2 linked regions of the Bombyx mori genome follow. The protein of the gene in region 1 interacts with the protein of each later gene in a pairwise test. Links are inferred from orthologs where the notes say so. Each region holds a gene or a part of one and is shown in the gene's direction. Other genes may lie near its edges. The genes, in order: ADP-ribosylation factor-like protein 3; retinal rod rhodopsin-sensitive cGMP 3',5'-cyclic phosphodiesterase subunit delta.

What was found.
Region 2: the proteins of ADP-ribosylation factor-like protein 3 (region 1) and retinal rod rhodopsin-sensitive cGMP 3',5'-cyclic phosphodiesterase subunit delta interact in binary tests that used the Homo sapiens proteins (3 or more experiments, as listed by UniProt). The link is inferred for Bombyx mori from reciprocal best matches to the Homo sapiens genes ARL3 and PDE6D.

The regions. Positions count from the first base shown.
Region 1 is NC_085132.1:10,394,152-10,400,919, forward strand, and holds the start of ADP-ribosylation factor-like protein 3, read left to right. Parts: upstream 1-2,240; 5' UTR 2,241-2,411; coding exon 2,412-2,414; intron 2,415-2,489; coding exon 2,490-2,750; intron 2,751-3,678; coding exon 3,679-3,811; intron 3,812-4,734; coding exon 4,735-4,838; intron 4,839-6,263; coding exon 6,264-6,308; 3' UTR 6,309-6,768. Other genes in the region: nucleolar protein family A member 2, read right to left, coding at 660-891, 1,543-1,781. UniProt on the Homo sapiens protein: Small GTP-binding protein which cycles between an inactive GDP-bound and an active GTP-bound form, and the rate of cycling is regulated by guanine nucleotide exchange factors (GEF) and GTPase-activating proteins (GAP).
Region 2 is NC_085119.1:5,231,763-5,238,530, forward strand, and holds the start of retinal rod rhodopsin-sensitive cGMP 3',5'-cyclic phosphodiesterase subunit delta, read left to right. Parts: upstream 1-2,575; 5' UTR 2,576-2,649; coding exon 2,650-2,720; exon of another isoform or gene 2,721-3,070; intron 3,071-3,219; coding exon 3,220-3,251; intron 3,252-3,828; coding exon 3,829-3,980; intron 3,981-5,229; coding exon 5,230-5,366; intron 5,367-6,194; coding exon 6,195-6,276; 3' UTR 6,277-6,550; coding exon of another isoform or gene 6,551-6,556; 3' UTR 6,557-6,768. Other genes in the region: ubiquitin-protein ligase E3A, read right to left, coding at 860-1,043, 1,295-1,329. UniProt on the Homo sapiens protein: Promotes the release of prenylated target proteins from cellular membranes. Modulates the activity of prenylated or palmitoylated Ras family members by regulating their subcellular location.

The DNA.
Region 1 (6,768 bases):
TAATTAACGTAATTAGAGTTGTTGAACTGAGTTATGAAAAAAAAAATTGTATCTAATAGCATTCTGTCCAATACTTTTAGGTGAATGACAATTACACATTAAAACAACTTTACATACAAATATATATCATTTCCAGTCTAGTCTACTTCAAACAGGGACAGAATTTTTAATATTGTGAATATATCTTGGTTTCCATAGTAATGACACATTACTCCCATGTGTGTGGTGAATTCTGGAATATTTCGCTAAACTTTTAAACAAAAAACCAAATCTTTTAGAATTGTTTTTGGAACTATCCACATTAGTACTAGCTATAAATACCATAAAATACATTGAGAATGAAGTAGTACTGACAATTTTGGACACAATGTCATTAAAAACTTATTGAAAATTTATTTTTGTTTTGTCTAGTTTTTGTACTCACCAGTGTAAACACAATATATCAGATCCTGTGAAGTAATTACATGTTACATTACAAAATATAAAGTTAATTACCTAAATGTATATTTTTATCATGTCTAGTATTTAACAGTCACTATGGAATATATTGTAATGAACAAAAAATTCTAAGCTGATTTTGTTACAAGAATGTTACTGTTAATTCGTTTGAAAGTCTTACTATTTAATATTAAAACTAAATAAGAATCTTATTCATATATTTACAGTGGATGTCCGAGTAATTTTATTTCACTTTTAACTTCCTCGTACAAATCTTTATAATCCTCATGTTCTTTGACAAGTACCATGATGCATCCTCGCATTGTACCCATGGCGGCACCGATATCCTTCCTACTTGGAGTGTAACAGTATTGGACGTCCTTCTCCTCGCAAACCGCAGGTAGGTGACACATGATTTCTATGGGTGAAATGTCTCCAGCAAAGAAAACCATGCTGTCGATAAAAGAAATGTGAACATTTTATTAAAGGTTAAGTAAATTTATTTAATGTGATACAGATTTTTTATTTATTTTAAAATATGTTTAAGACCATTTTAGCTATGTAATGCCCATATACTTTATTCCACATACATCATATGTGTGAATATGCCCATGAGATATGTGGGTGAAGTTTTAACCTATCAGAGGATAGGTAGTAGGTAGGTACTGCAATGTATGAATGCTTCGTGAGAGCAATAGGCAGGATGGTACCAGCCCGCGCGGGTTCACAATATGCTCAACGGCCAATAAAAACAGGGGGCTAGGTTTGATATATTAGAAATATTTAGAATTTTGGGTTTCCTGCCTTGTATTTAGATTAAAGTGTTGTTCTGAAGAAGTCTAGACCGTGCCTTACGGCGACACAGACATAGCGATTTCTGTGGAATTTAGTATCAAACTTTGTAAATTCTGATGTCGAGCGATGTGACAAACAACACTAGTAACAAAAGGTAAGTTAATCAACATTTACCAAATCGAACTTATTACTATAGCATTAGAGTATAGTAGCCAAGAAGATAACATTTAACAATTTAATCCACGAAAAACTTCGTTACCACATATCAACATAACCTCGAAATTAAATAATTCGAGAAATCTAACTCACCCCTTTTCACCCAGACGTAACTGCTTCTGAACGATTTTCAGGCCGTTTCTGATATAGTTCTTATGGTTACTCGATTTCTTAATAAGTTTATATATCTTTTTGGTGAGTTTTTTTGTGGCCATCGGTTTCGCTATTATACTACAATGTTCGACTTTTTCATCGTGGCTTTGCGGTTCAGCTTTAATGCTGACATCAGCCTGGTCTTCCTGTTCGACCGGTTCTTGCTTTACTTTACCCATAATTTCAGATTTTTATTTATAACTTATTTAAGTTAAAATTATCAACACGTGTAGACACAAGCGTAGTTTAGTCCTTGATGACATTAAGTTGATGTTTGCTTGCCTTGTATTCCCTTTGCCTATTAGACAGGCAAAAGAAGTATAGACTATACAGCCAAATATATTATTTAAATAGTGTAATGTAAAAAACCCATACTTAGGTAAACTTGAATACGGCCCACTTGATGGTGATAGATGGGTTCTTAGATCACAATGAGTTTTTTGGGAGAAGCTAAGAAGCTAGTTACTGAATGGAAATTTCATGTTGGTGGTTAATTTTAATATCTATTGTTCGGACTAAAGCACATTAGCGTTATTATATGTTCTCAAAAAGTTAGTTATATGTATTTAAATAAGAGTCACGTTGCCACTGCATAGGTCTCTTGACTTCATAAATCTTTCCTTTGTTGGAAGTGACAAGCTGTTGTCATAGCAACAGGGACGTCAACAAATTCTACTAAATAACAAAAAAAAATATACCGATTCTTGAATTCGAGTAAATAAAGACGAATTTAATTATCATGAAGACTTGATATCACAACTTCGAATAAGATCCATAAATAAACTTTGAATTCCAAGCAATATCGAATTATGGTAAGTTGAAAGGCGTTAAACATCGCTTATATAAAATTAATAACTAAATATGGTTGCATTCGTAAATTTTTTCAGGGTCTGCTAGATATATTAAAGAAACTGCGATCTAATCCGGAGAAAGAGCTTCGTTTGCTGCTGTTAGGGCTGGACAATGCTGGAAAGACGACTCTATTGAAGCAATTGGCTTCGGAAGACGTGAACCACGTTATCCCGACCGCTGGTTTTAATATAAAATCGGTGTTATCGAATGGCTTCAAGCTAAATGTTTGGGATATCGGTGGACAGAGGAAGATCAGGCCTTATTGGAGGAATTATTTTGAGAACACCGATATTTTGGTATGCTATTGATTTATTTATAACGAATTTTAAATTACATTTTTAGAAAAAAATTTTTAGAGAGCACACGGACATGGGCCTTGTAGATGGTACAGCCATAAATATACTCTTAATTGTATTGGTCATAAGCGTCATCCGTCAAATCAGGACGTAGTCGCGCAGCAAAACTGTGCAGGGTTGTGGTACAAATGGGCACTCAATATCTACGCTTTATTCAAAGTTAGTTCGGGAAGTGAGACGAACAATGAAGGGTAGCTAGGTGTACTGAAATAGGTGGCTGACTGGTGGCACTTACCCGTGCAGACTAACAAGATGCCCCACCACCAGTGATTGCGCAACATATAATCTTTGCGGGTTTGGTTCTCAATATACGATTTTATATCTAAATCGTGGACGTCACTCGTGAACACGTGTGAAGTAGATAATAATATGTATTTCATAAAAAAATGATCGGGCGCCTTATTTATTAGGCCTCGGCTTAACTCCAACAATAATCGTAATACGAGAACCTTAAAAAGTTCGCGTGAGCAACCTCATTTCTGAATATTGCTACTGTGGCGCACTTTTTCCCATAGAAAGCTTAACAACGTACGTACATCTTATGATGATTTTTTTCGGGCAACGCGGTGGTAAGGCTATGTAAATCGAATGTGTTGCGGCGCTAAGTTGATGCGCTAGAATTTTGCCCAATAGACGTCCAAAGACGTTCGGACAAAATAAATATGATAAACTCTAGAGACCGTCATATGACGTTGCGCCATTTCATAATTTAAAAAACACGACGTTGTAAGACGTTGCTCACGCGAACGTGTTAGATCGGCAACGGGCGTTTTGCTTTCTCACTTTTAACTGTAATACATTTGGATGTCTGATCCAGCTTTACCTCTGCCTTCGACTATTAAAGAAAACTGTTAAAATAACTTTACAGATCTACGTGGTCGATTGTTCAGATCACCATAGACTGGAGGAGACCAGTCTAGAATTAGCCGAGCTGCTTCTGGATGACAAGTTGCGCGCTGTTCCGCTGTTAGTTTACGCCAACAAACAGGACTTGGCGACCGGTGCGTATAGATAATTTGATTACATTCATTTTTGAAGTAATCTGTGTTTTTAATTTCACTTTTAAATAATCATTAAAGTAATTTGCATTGGTAGTTTTAGTTACAATTAATTATAAAAGTAATCTGTGTTGATAGTTTATCTTACAAATAATAAACTATTTGGCGGTAGTGAAGTGGTGTGATTTGTTTTGTGCTCACCGAAAGACTTCCAGGACATTGTGTGATAAAATACCGCTATAAATATTAATTTGCATTAATACTAGTAGCGTATCGGACGCCTGCACTCATAGGCACCGTTTTGCCTATTTTAATCACAAGCAGTCATGTCTTCTAATTAGAAGAATAAAGCACTCACACAATACAATTATATATTTTTTATTTTATTTTTTAGTGCCGTCTAGGCAGACGAGCATACGGCCCATCTGATTGTGAGTGATCATCGTCGCTCATGGACATCAGCGATGTCAGGGGCACAGCCAAGCCGCTGCCTACCACGAAATTATTACCAACTCCACTATCTTAACTGGTGGTAGGTGTAGGCAGCGGCTTGGCTCTGCCCTTGGCATTGCTGAAGTCCATGGGCGACGGTAACCACTCACCATCAGGTGGGCTGTATGCTCGTCTGCCTACAAAGGCAATAAAAAAAAAGGTACCACCACCCTGCCGTGAAGTAATTCGAGCGGGGCAGCCGTTACACTGTAAAAGCTGAGACTTAGAACTCATGTCTTAAGGTGGGTAGCGACATTTGCGTTGTAGATGTCTATGGGCTCCGATAACCACTTAACACCAGGTAGGCCGTGAGCTCGTCCATCCATAAAAGAAATATAAAAAAAAATATAAAAAAATTGTGCAATAATAAATGCGCAAAATCTACATGGGAAGAAATGTCTGATACAATCATGTTGGGTTTTTTTTATTCACAGCATTACCGGCTAGTGAGATAGCTCAACATCTCGGTCTGCACTTAATAAGAGACAGGACTTGGCAGATACAAGCGTGTGTGGCCACTGATGGTACTGGAGTTAAGGTTAATGTCTATTATATTTATACAATATCGTCATTACCGACCTGTGTGCTTAGTGTGAGATTTTTAACGTTCTCGACGGCGTAAAAGTTAACTTAGATTTGTATGCAGTTGGAACAGCGCCCCTAGCGGCAAACGTAGGCAAACGTTCCAACTCCATACAAATTTGAGTTAACTTTGACGCTATCGAGAACGTTAAAAAACTCGCACTAAACACACTGGTGTAGGTCGCGGGAATCTGCTAGATGCGGGCTTCATTTGACAGGTCGTTGTGGTAAGTCTTGGAAGAGTTCTATGTCCAGTTGTGGACGTCTGTCGCCTGCTAGATAGATGGTCACCATTTGATTTGATGCGCCCTTCCAAAGGATAAGGTTTTGATGGTTCAAATATTTGGAATGACTGTGGTGAAGTGATTAGTGCCTCTGATTCCTGCGCCAAGGGTCTTGGGATCGATTCCCACGTTAGGGAATGTTCATGTGACGAGCAAATTCAAAATCATTTATTTCAACTTGGATGTCATCAAAAACACACTTGTTGAATGTCAAAATGTAAAAGAAAATGTTAACTCTACCACCGGTTCCAAAAAAAAGCCACAGTCCTGAGAAGAACCGGCGAAACAAACTCAGCGGGCTTTTTTTTTTTTGTTTGCTCTTTGTCTGGGCATGTTTGTTTGCTCTTTGTCTGGGCTATATATTATCTGTTTTATATATTTAATCCGAAAACTGAGTGCGATTAGCCCGTACCACTGACCATGTCAATAGAATTGAAATGAAGTGTCAGTATGGCTTTTTGGCGGGAACGCGAGGAGTGAAGTTGTGTGATTTGTTTTATTTTGTCTATTTAGTGTTTCTTCAGGTTTAAATGTGTGATAACGGTGGTTTATTAACTGTTTAATATCTGTGAAAGTGCACAAATATGGGAAAATGAAACAAAGCCGCTGGACGTAACTTCTCGGGATCCTCCAAAAAGTCCACTGAAAAAATCTCAGTAAATTACCACCATTTTACTGAGATTATATTTCATCCCATATCATCTCATTTTATTTAATTTCATCCCAATTGATGAATGTCTCAAAAGTAATCATCTTCATTTCATTTCACTCCATATTAACATTTTTCATAAAAATAAGAAAATAAATTAAAATAAGGCATGACCTAAAGGTCTTAGTTACCAGGCCATAAAATCCCTTAAAAAAGTGTCAGTATGAAGCATGTTTGAGATATCTCAAGATTGGGTGGTAATCAGAATACGGCGCTCCTATCTTTTTATACCACACAACCATTGTGTAACAGCGGGACGGTAGTGTATACTATCTATCTATCTATCTAGTATGCTATGGGCTCTACCTATGCACTACCATCGGGAATTTGGCCACAATTCCTCTTAAATCGAATCATGAATTAACACGCGTGTTGTTTGTATCCACAGGAGGGCATGGAATGGGTTTGCAAGAATATCAACGTGAAAAAATAACAAATCATTCTCGGCCATATTTTGCGGTAAACACTGATTAAATGTAATATTAGTTTGGTATAGTTGTATGGTACAACTTTGCTCACGATCCGCTGTGTCTTCGATTGTTACGATTTTTGTTAAATGGCTTTTGATTAAGCGTTGTCACTGTTTTATCGTCAAGGTTTTGACCGTGAGCACAGAATTATGTAGGTGCTTACGTATTTAGCTTTAGAAAAGCTCGGGATTGTACCGGGCCTTTTGTCTCGTTTATTTAATAGAGGCGGAAAGAATACTTTACCTTTTAAAATTTTTTTTTAAGCTATAGCGTAGATTTTATCGCGTGCTTTGAGCGCGGTGACCGAATCAAGAAATTCCGTAACGAAAACAACCTAACACCTCTTCGCCTACCATGTAGCTCGCGCTCAACACATTCACACGTTGCGCTTGTGTAGTGTTTGCAAATAAGCGCGCAGCGTGA
Region 2 (6,768 bases), on another chromosome or scaffold:
AGGGACACATTACAGCCACATGGAAAAAAAATTGGATGGTGATATCTACCCGTGTGATTTCATAAGACAACTTACTAACCATATATGTATATTTTTTTTATGTTAACCATAAGAACTCATAAATTGGCATCATTTTTAATCATTTCAATATCTGACGTTAGAAATTCATCAGGATCCCAGAAAATATTGGTACTTTAATTATCAATTACATGATAAGGTATTTGTTATATATATATTATGAAATGGATTTTGATATATCTATTCAAATTCATATTCTTGAGATTACATAGTGAAATTGGATTGTTGGACTGTAACAATAAAGCTGAGTATTCAATGACCAGCCAGAATTGTAACAGTTTATAAGTTTGTGAAATACAATATATGTATACTATGAACCCAAGTAATCACTTTTTATAAAACAAGCATTTAAATTTACGGAATATGTCAATTACAAAACTCTATCTAATCTATCCAATTTCAAGTGTTATCAGATTTTAGTGAAACAAAATTTATATTCAGCTCTACATTGATCTATGTTCAATAATTTTGTTAGTTTTATTTTAAAATGTATTAATGATTTTTACTATTGACAAAACATGAACTTCCTATAGTACTTACTATCAATAAGTACTTATAAAATAAATAAATTATGCTTAGATTTGCAAATGAATAGTGTATTTGGTATTTACAATACAATTTTTATTTTAGGGCAGTCGATTGGTGTATTCCTACTTTCGTGTTTCCATACAGCCTGTTTTAACAATAGTGTTTATACCTAGAAATCTGAATACAATATTTGAATATATTCACCAAATCGGTGGTTAGTTTAATTTCAAAAAAATATATATTCATTACTTACCGCCCCACTTGATGCACAATATCTGTTATCACAGTTAACATTGCCACAACCATCTAGCAGTTGATAAAAATATTTTTCAATTAACTGCTTGGCTGCGGCTCGCTTCATAATATTTCCTGATGTTAGCTGGTCTTCAACAATGTCAGGGGTTGAATTTATCGATGATGATGATGCTTCGCTCCCCCTGAATGATAAACAATAGTAATGCATATATTTATTACAAAACGTAACAAATATATTTTCAAACAACACTTTATTTTTGCTTAAAGGAAGGTACTAAAATAGCAAGTAATGCTTCATAACCCCTATCAACATTTTGTTTCTGCACGAAACAAATACAATAAAATTTAGATATATTTTGGTAATCTTAAAGGTCAACGTGATGTGAATTTTTAAATATTAATAATATAGTGAAATAATAAAACAGATACATACCTCGAAGCTTCGACAGACTCGCTTTTCGGGTTCATAGAAAATTCTTAATAATCCTGTAGTGATTTCAAACGGCCAGTTACATAAATACGGTGATAACGTAAACATTAGCAGGGTACAAATTTTAGAAATATTTTTTGTGTTCACCTCTTGGACTAAACAAACAACATTTACATAGTACAACATATAATTTTACCTATTGGCTATTATTGTGTTTTATGTAGGTACCTATGTACAAAATTACAAATTGAGATTTTTGTGAAATTTTCTTTTTTTTGTTACGGCCATTGGCTACTGTATCTTTTGGCAAAGAAAGTGCACAATCGTTGATTCGATTTTGTGGTTTAGTCGATTTGATATTGATGTGCACAAGATCGTTTTGAAGCTGTCATATAAAAAGCCTGTTTGACTGAATCGACATTTGTGAATTACTGTAAAATAAATTTAAAATTTGAAATTTATAGTCTGAGACTCTGGAAAATGCTCTGTAGTAGTTCACAGATTAAAATATTAGTTACTGAGCATTTCTCAAAAAAATTGACCATAGCAGCCGCAATGTTGATGTCCCATACTTTGGTCTTTGATGATGTTTTTATTACGATAATATAAATAACATACATGACAGTCGTAACTTCATTGATATTACTTAATTATCAGAGAAAATATCAAAACAATAAATAAACCACACTAATTACAATAAATAATTAATAATCTAAAAACCAAAATATTCGTACTATGGAAAATAAGTTGTCCCATTAAGACCGCAGTGATTTTGAACTCATTTATTTCATTACATTCTATTTGTATTCTATTTACATTCTATTCATATGATGTTATGTCATATGTCATATGATGACGTTAATTGGTGGATCCCATGGAGTTAATAATAATACTAATCTCTATAGAGGATCCCGAGAAGCTATGTCCAGTGGCTTTGTTTCGTTTTCCCACATTTGTGAACTTTCACAGATATCAAACAGTTAATAAACCACCGTTATTACACATTTAAACCTGAAGAAACACTAAATAGATAAAATAAAACAAATCACACAACTTCACTCCTCGCGTTCCCGCCAAAAACAACCTAAAGGTCTATGTTACCAGGTCATAAAAAAAGACCATAGACTTAATTTATGGAGCTTGCAAAAAAAACCCCAGAAAAAGTGGTTTTCATTTTTCAATGTGAATGTGAACAATATTGTGTTCGTAATTGAATTTAGAGTCATAGAATAAACACTTAATTGTTTAGAGTATTTTGTTAGACAGAAAAATAAACACAGTTCAGTTCGCTGTTAAGAAAATCAGCAATCAAAAACATAATCATATAAAATTGGAATTGAACTTTTATTTTCGCAAATATGACTGACGTTCTAACAACTGAACGAGATAAAAATGATCGTGTGGAGACTATTCTGAAGGGATTTCAAATGTATCCTTTACATATGTTCTTTTTCTTATATTGCCCTTAATGCCATTGTGAGTTGAGATCCTTTAAAATCGAATAGTTGACGAGTAAGTCGTGGCGTTACGTCTAGCAGGGCACCTTTTTTTGCTTTTTGGATGATTACCCGACTGTCGAGAGACTTTAAACCAAGTCCTGCCTATTCTTTTAAAAAGTATTTTTGCATTATTAGGCCCATCGTCTGCAAACATAATGCTGTTCCATAGTAATTCAGTACCTAAGCATTTGTACCGTGCATCACTTTTGGAATGAATTTCTTCCCACGATTATGCTGTTGTTTCCCACAATAGTCCCACAATTAAAGTTTGAAAATGTACCTGAAAATGTAAAAATAATACATCCTCAATTGATGTATTTAACATGTGATCCCTAATTGATTATAAACAGCGTTAAAAATAAATAGATTCATCATTTCAATGTGTTTTACTTAACAATTGTCAATAATTTTTTAACATTGCAACGTCAGTAATTGGATGAATCTTCGTGATGCTGACACAGGTAAAGATCTAGTCATTGAAAAAAAAACGTTTGAAATATATTAAAATTAAGATCAGTAGTAGAATTTGTTTTGCCTGTAAATTAGATATGCAATTTCCAAAGATAAACAAGTCAGTTACTGATTGTGTATATCATTGTTTGTTTTTTTAAATATACTCAACAGAATATAATTAAAAGTTATATGATGCTATAGTTGATGTGAATGAAAAATTAAAATAAATAAATAAATGACTAATCTTGGGTCCAAGGTGGTTAATTGTTTTTACATTGGGATGTCTATGAGACCACTCCAGGAGCAAGATTTATTAAATGTTTTCTAGTATTTAAAAATCCTACAAGTAGCTTCACCAGACTGCTGATGATTGTTGTATAAAATATACATACTCAACACATAATAATAATACTCAAAACTGTAATAACATATCGCGGGCGAGCAAAGCGTGGCAATTTTTTTTTCTCATTTTATGAAGTTTCTTAAATAAAAATCAAACTACTTTTAGATACTTAAGTAACAGCAATGTTATAATTTTTCCCCTATTGCACATTTATATTTATTTTATTAATAATTCTTTTTCAGGAAAAATTCTTTGGCAACATAATGAGGACATGTCAAGTCCAGATGCGGAACACGAAGCAAGAGTACCCAAAAGAATTCTCAAGTGCAGAGTAGTGTCTCGTGAAATGAACTTCAGCTCAATAGAATCCATGGATAGATTTAGATTAGAACAGGTACATCTATACATATAAATAAAATTAGAGTGTCTGTTTGTAGTATTGAAATAACAGCTTTTTACTACATTCATATGAATATATATACGGTACATATACCAAAATAAAATTTTTTATAATTTTTTTTTGTCTGTCTGTTTGTTCCGGCTAATCTCTGGAACGGCTGGACCAATTTTGATGAGACTTTCACTAATAGGTAGCTGATGATATAAGGAGTAACTTAGACAACTTTTTTTACACTAGCTTCGCCCCGCGGCGTCTCCCGCAGTTATTGTCGTACCGCGCGCTACATGGCTGGCTTGGCCTATCAGTCAATAATAAAATTTAATGTTTCCGAAGAGAAGCGAGGGCGGGTCGCTAGTGTTAAGATAGTAAGCAATTAAAGTAGAATTAGTTTCCAACTACAAGCATCATTTAACATTATTTATGTAGCCGATGAGTCAGAAATACTAAAAACAGTATGTTGTAGGTTAGATAGACTAGACAGTGTTGATTAGTGTTCAGTAGATGCTTAAAGGAGGGGACGTCATAAATAGACTTGGAGGGAATGTGTGAACCCCTTTCACACATTCCCTCCAAGTCCATATGAGTGAAAAGGGTGTGTATGGGTAAATATGATGTATGATAGACCTGAATGGAAAAAAGGTCATCATTGTATAAAGGCAAGAATAAGAATAAGAAAAAGTGTCATGATAGTTTTGATTTAGGTGGAATTATATTTATCAAACTGATATTCGAATCTGAGTATTGAGTATACATCTTCCTGTCTTATATGTATGTTTCTGGTATCCAGAACATGGGAGAAATTTCTGGCTTAGACTGTATAGTGTGAAATGTTTGCTTGTTAAAATAACATCACCATCAGCATCTATCAGTATAATTGGCCACAGATGTGACAACTTAGAACTGTCTGAATCCAAGCTTTGCTCCATATTTATATCATATTATTTCAAAAATAATTCATTCATCTAGTTTATTTTAATTGACTTGAATTAATATGTTCACAGAATTATAGAATTTAAACTATCCAATCCTGCATTTAACTGGTAGTACACTTACAATTAAATATAACATTACCAATCTAATTAGATATAAAATATAATTTTTACATAGATAAACATTTTATTATTTGGTAATTCGGTACTAACTTCATTAATAACACATGGATTTTGAGCTACTCACACCTACAGCAATAGAAAATATATAACTGATTTGAACACTAAAAAAAACTAAATGTTTCTTTTTATAGAAAGTACTCTTCAAAGGGAGATGTTTAGAAGAGTGGTTTTTCGATTTTGGTTATGTGATCCCGAACTCAACGAACACTTGGCAATCCGTTATAGAGTCAGCGCCTGAATCGCAAATGATGCCGGCCAATGTGCTCAAGTAAGTTTGATAGTATATAAAATTTCAATATAAATTAGTATAGATGGGCAGATGAGGCTACAGCTCACATTTAGGTGATACTGAAACCCAAATACACTATGAAGTGCTTGTGGTGACTAACCTGAAAACATGTGACCTATGTCTGTTACATATTGTATAATATCGACAGATATGGGAGCTTTTCTGTAGAAATATGAGTGGTGATATTTACCTGAGCGGAATCATAGTACAGCCTATCTACACTACTAATTAATCGAAAGTTTTGCATTTATTTAGTACATACTTATTGTAAGATAAAAAGTGCGGCACCCATTAGGCTAGGTACACTGCATTTATCATGTTGCTTGTTTACCAGAGCCCCAAATAACCTCAAACTAAATGTTAATACTACCACTCCGAGACCTGAGAACATGAGTTGGTTGCGTAAAATTATCACTAGGGCTGAAGAAAATTTTTGGAATTATTCTAATTTTATAAATATATAAATAGAATTAGAATTCATAACACCTGAATATGTGAAAACTGCCAAATTGCCAGTTTCTTTATTAGGGTTAATAGTCCACTTTTAAGTCTTGGTTACAAGGATCAGATTACAATTTATTTCGCTGCCAAGATAAATTAGAATGTTTTCCAGTAGGGATATCCTGGATAGAACCCTTGATCTCCAAACAACTAATTAAATATGTCAAACGTCAGACCAGAGCTCAAGTATTTTGGCGGGAAATTTTAAAACTGTTCCAAAAAAAATGCAATTGGCATTAAATTAATGTGTAAATATTTTGCAATTACGAATTATTATATACTAATTATGGAATTTTCTATTTTCAGTGGGAACGTGGTTATCGAAACGAAATTTTTTGATGGAGATTTGCTGATCACAACCTCTAGAGTACGACTGTTCTATATATGAGTCGTCTATTATCAAAGGCGGCAATCTGTACATTTGGACAAAAATTTTTTATTGATATGTCAATACAGATTTATTTGAATATAATCGTCTCCTTCAAAGAATACGGTTCAAAACCTGCATTAAATAAAGGTTAATAGTTAACCTGTTATTTATCTAAGATGTCGTTCCGAAGAGTTTTGTGACTGCCAATGGAATACAAAGTCAATAATTCGTTTTTCTGATTTACCAATCATTGTCCAAAAGTCAGATTGCCGCCTTTGATAATAGTCGACTCATATAATCGTTTAAATTTAATCTATGATACTTAAAATCTACTTGTGCATTTACTAGTCATTGGTGTGGTGCATTTATTTTATTCGAATTTTTACTTCAAAGTGTCCTTATTGTGATTTTTGTATCCCCTAGAAGCAGGTAATTCTTAGAATACAAATTATCAAAATTTATTAATAAGTGGATGTATTTTAGATCTAAAACTTAATGCATAGTATCAAC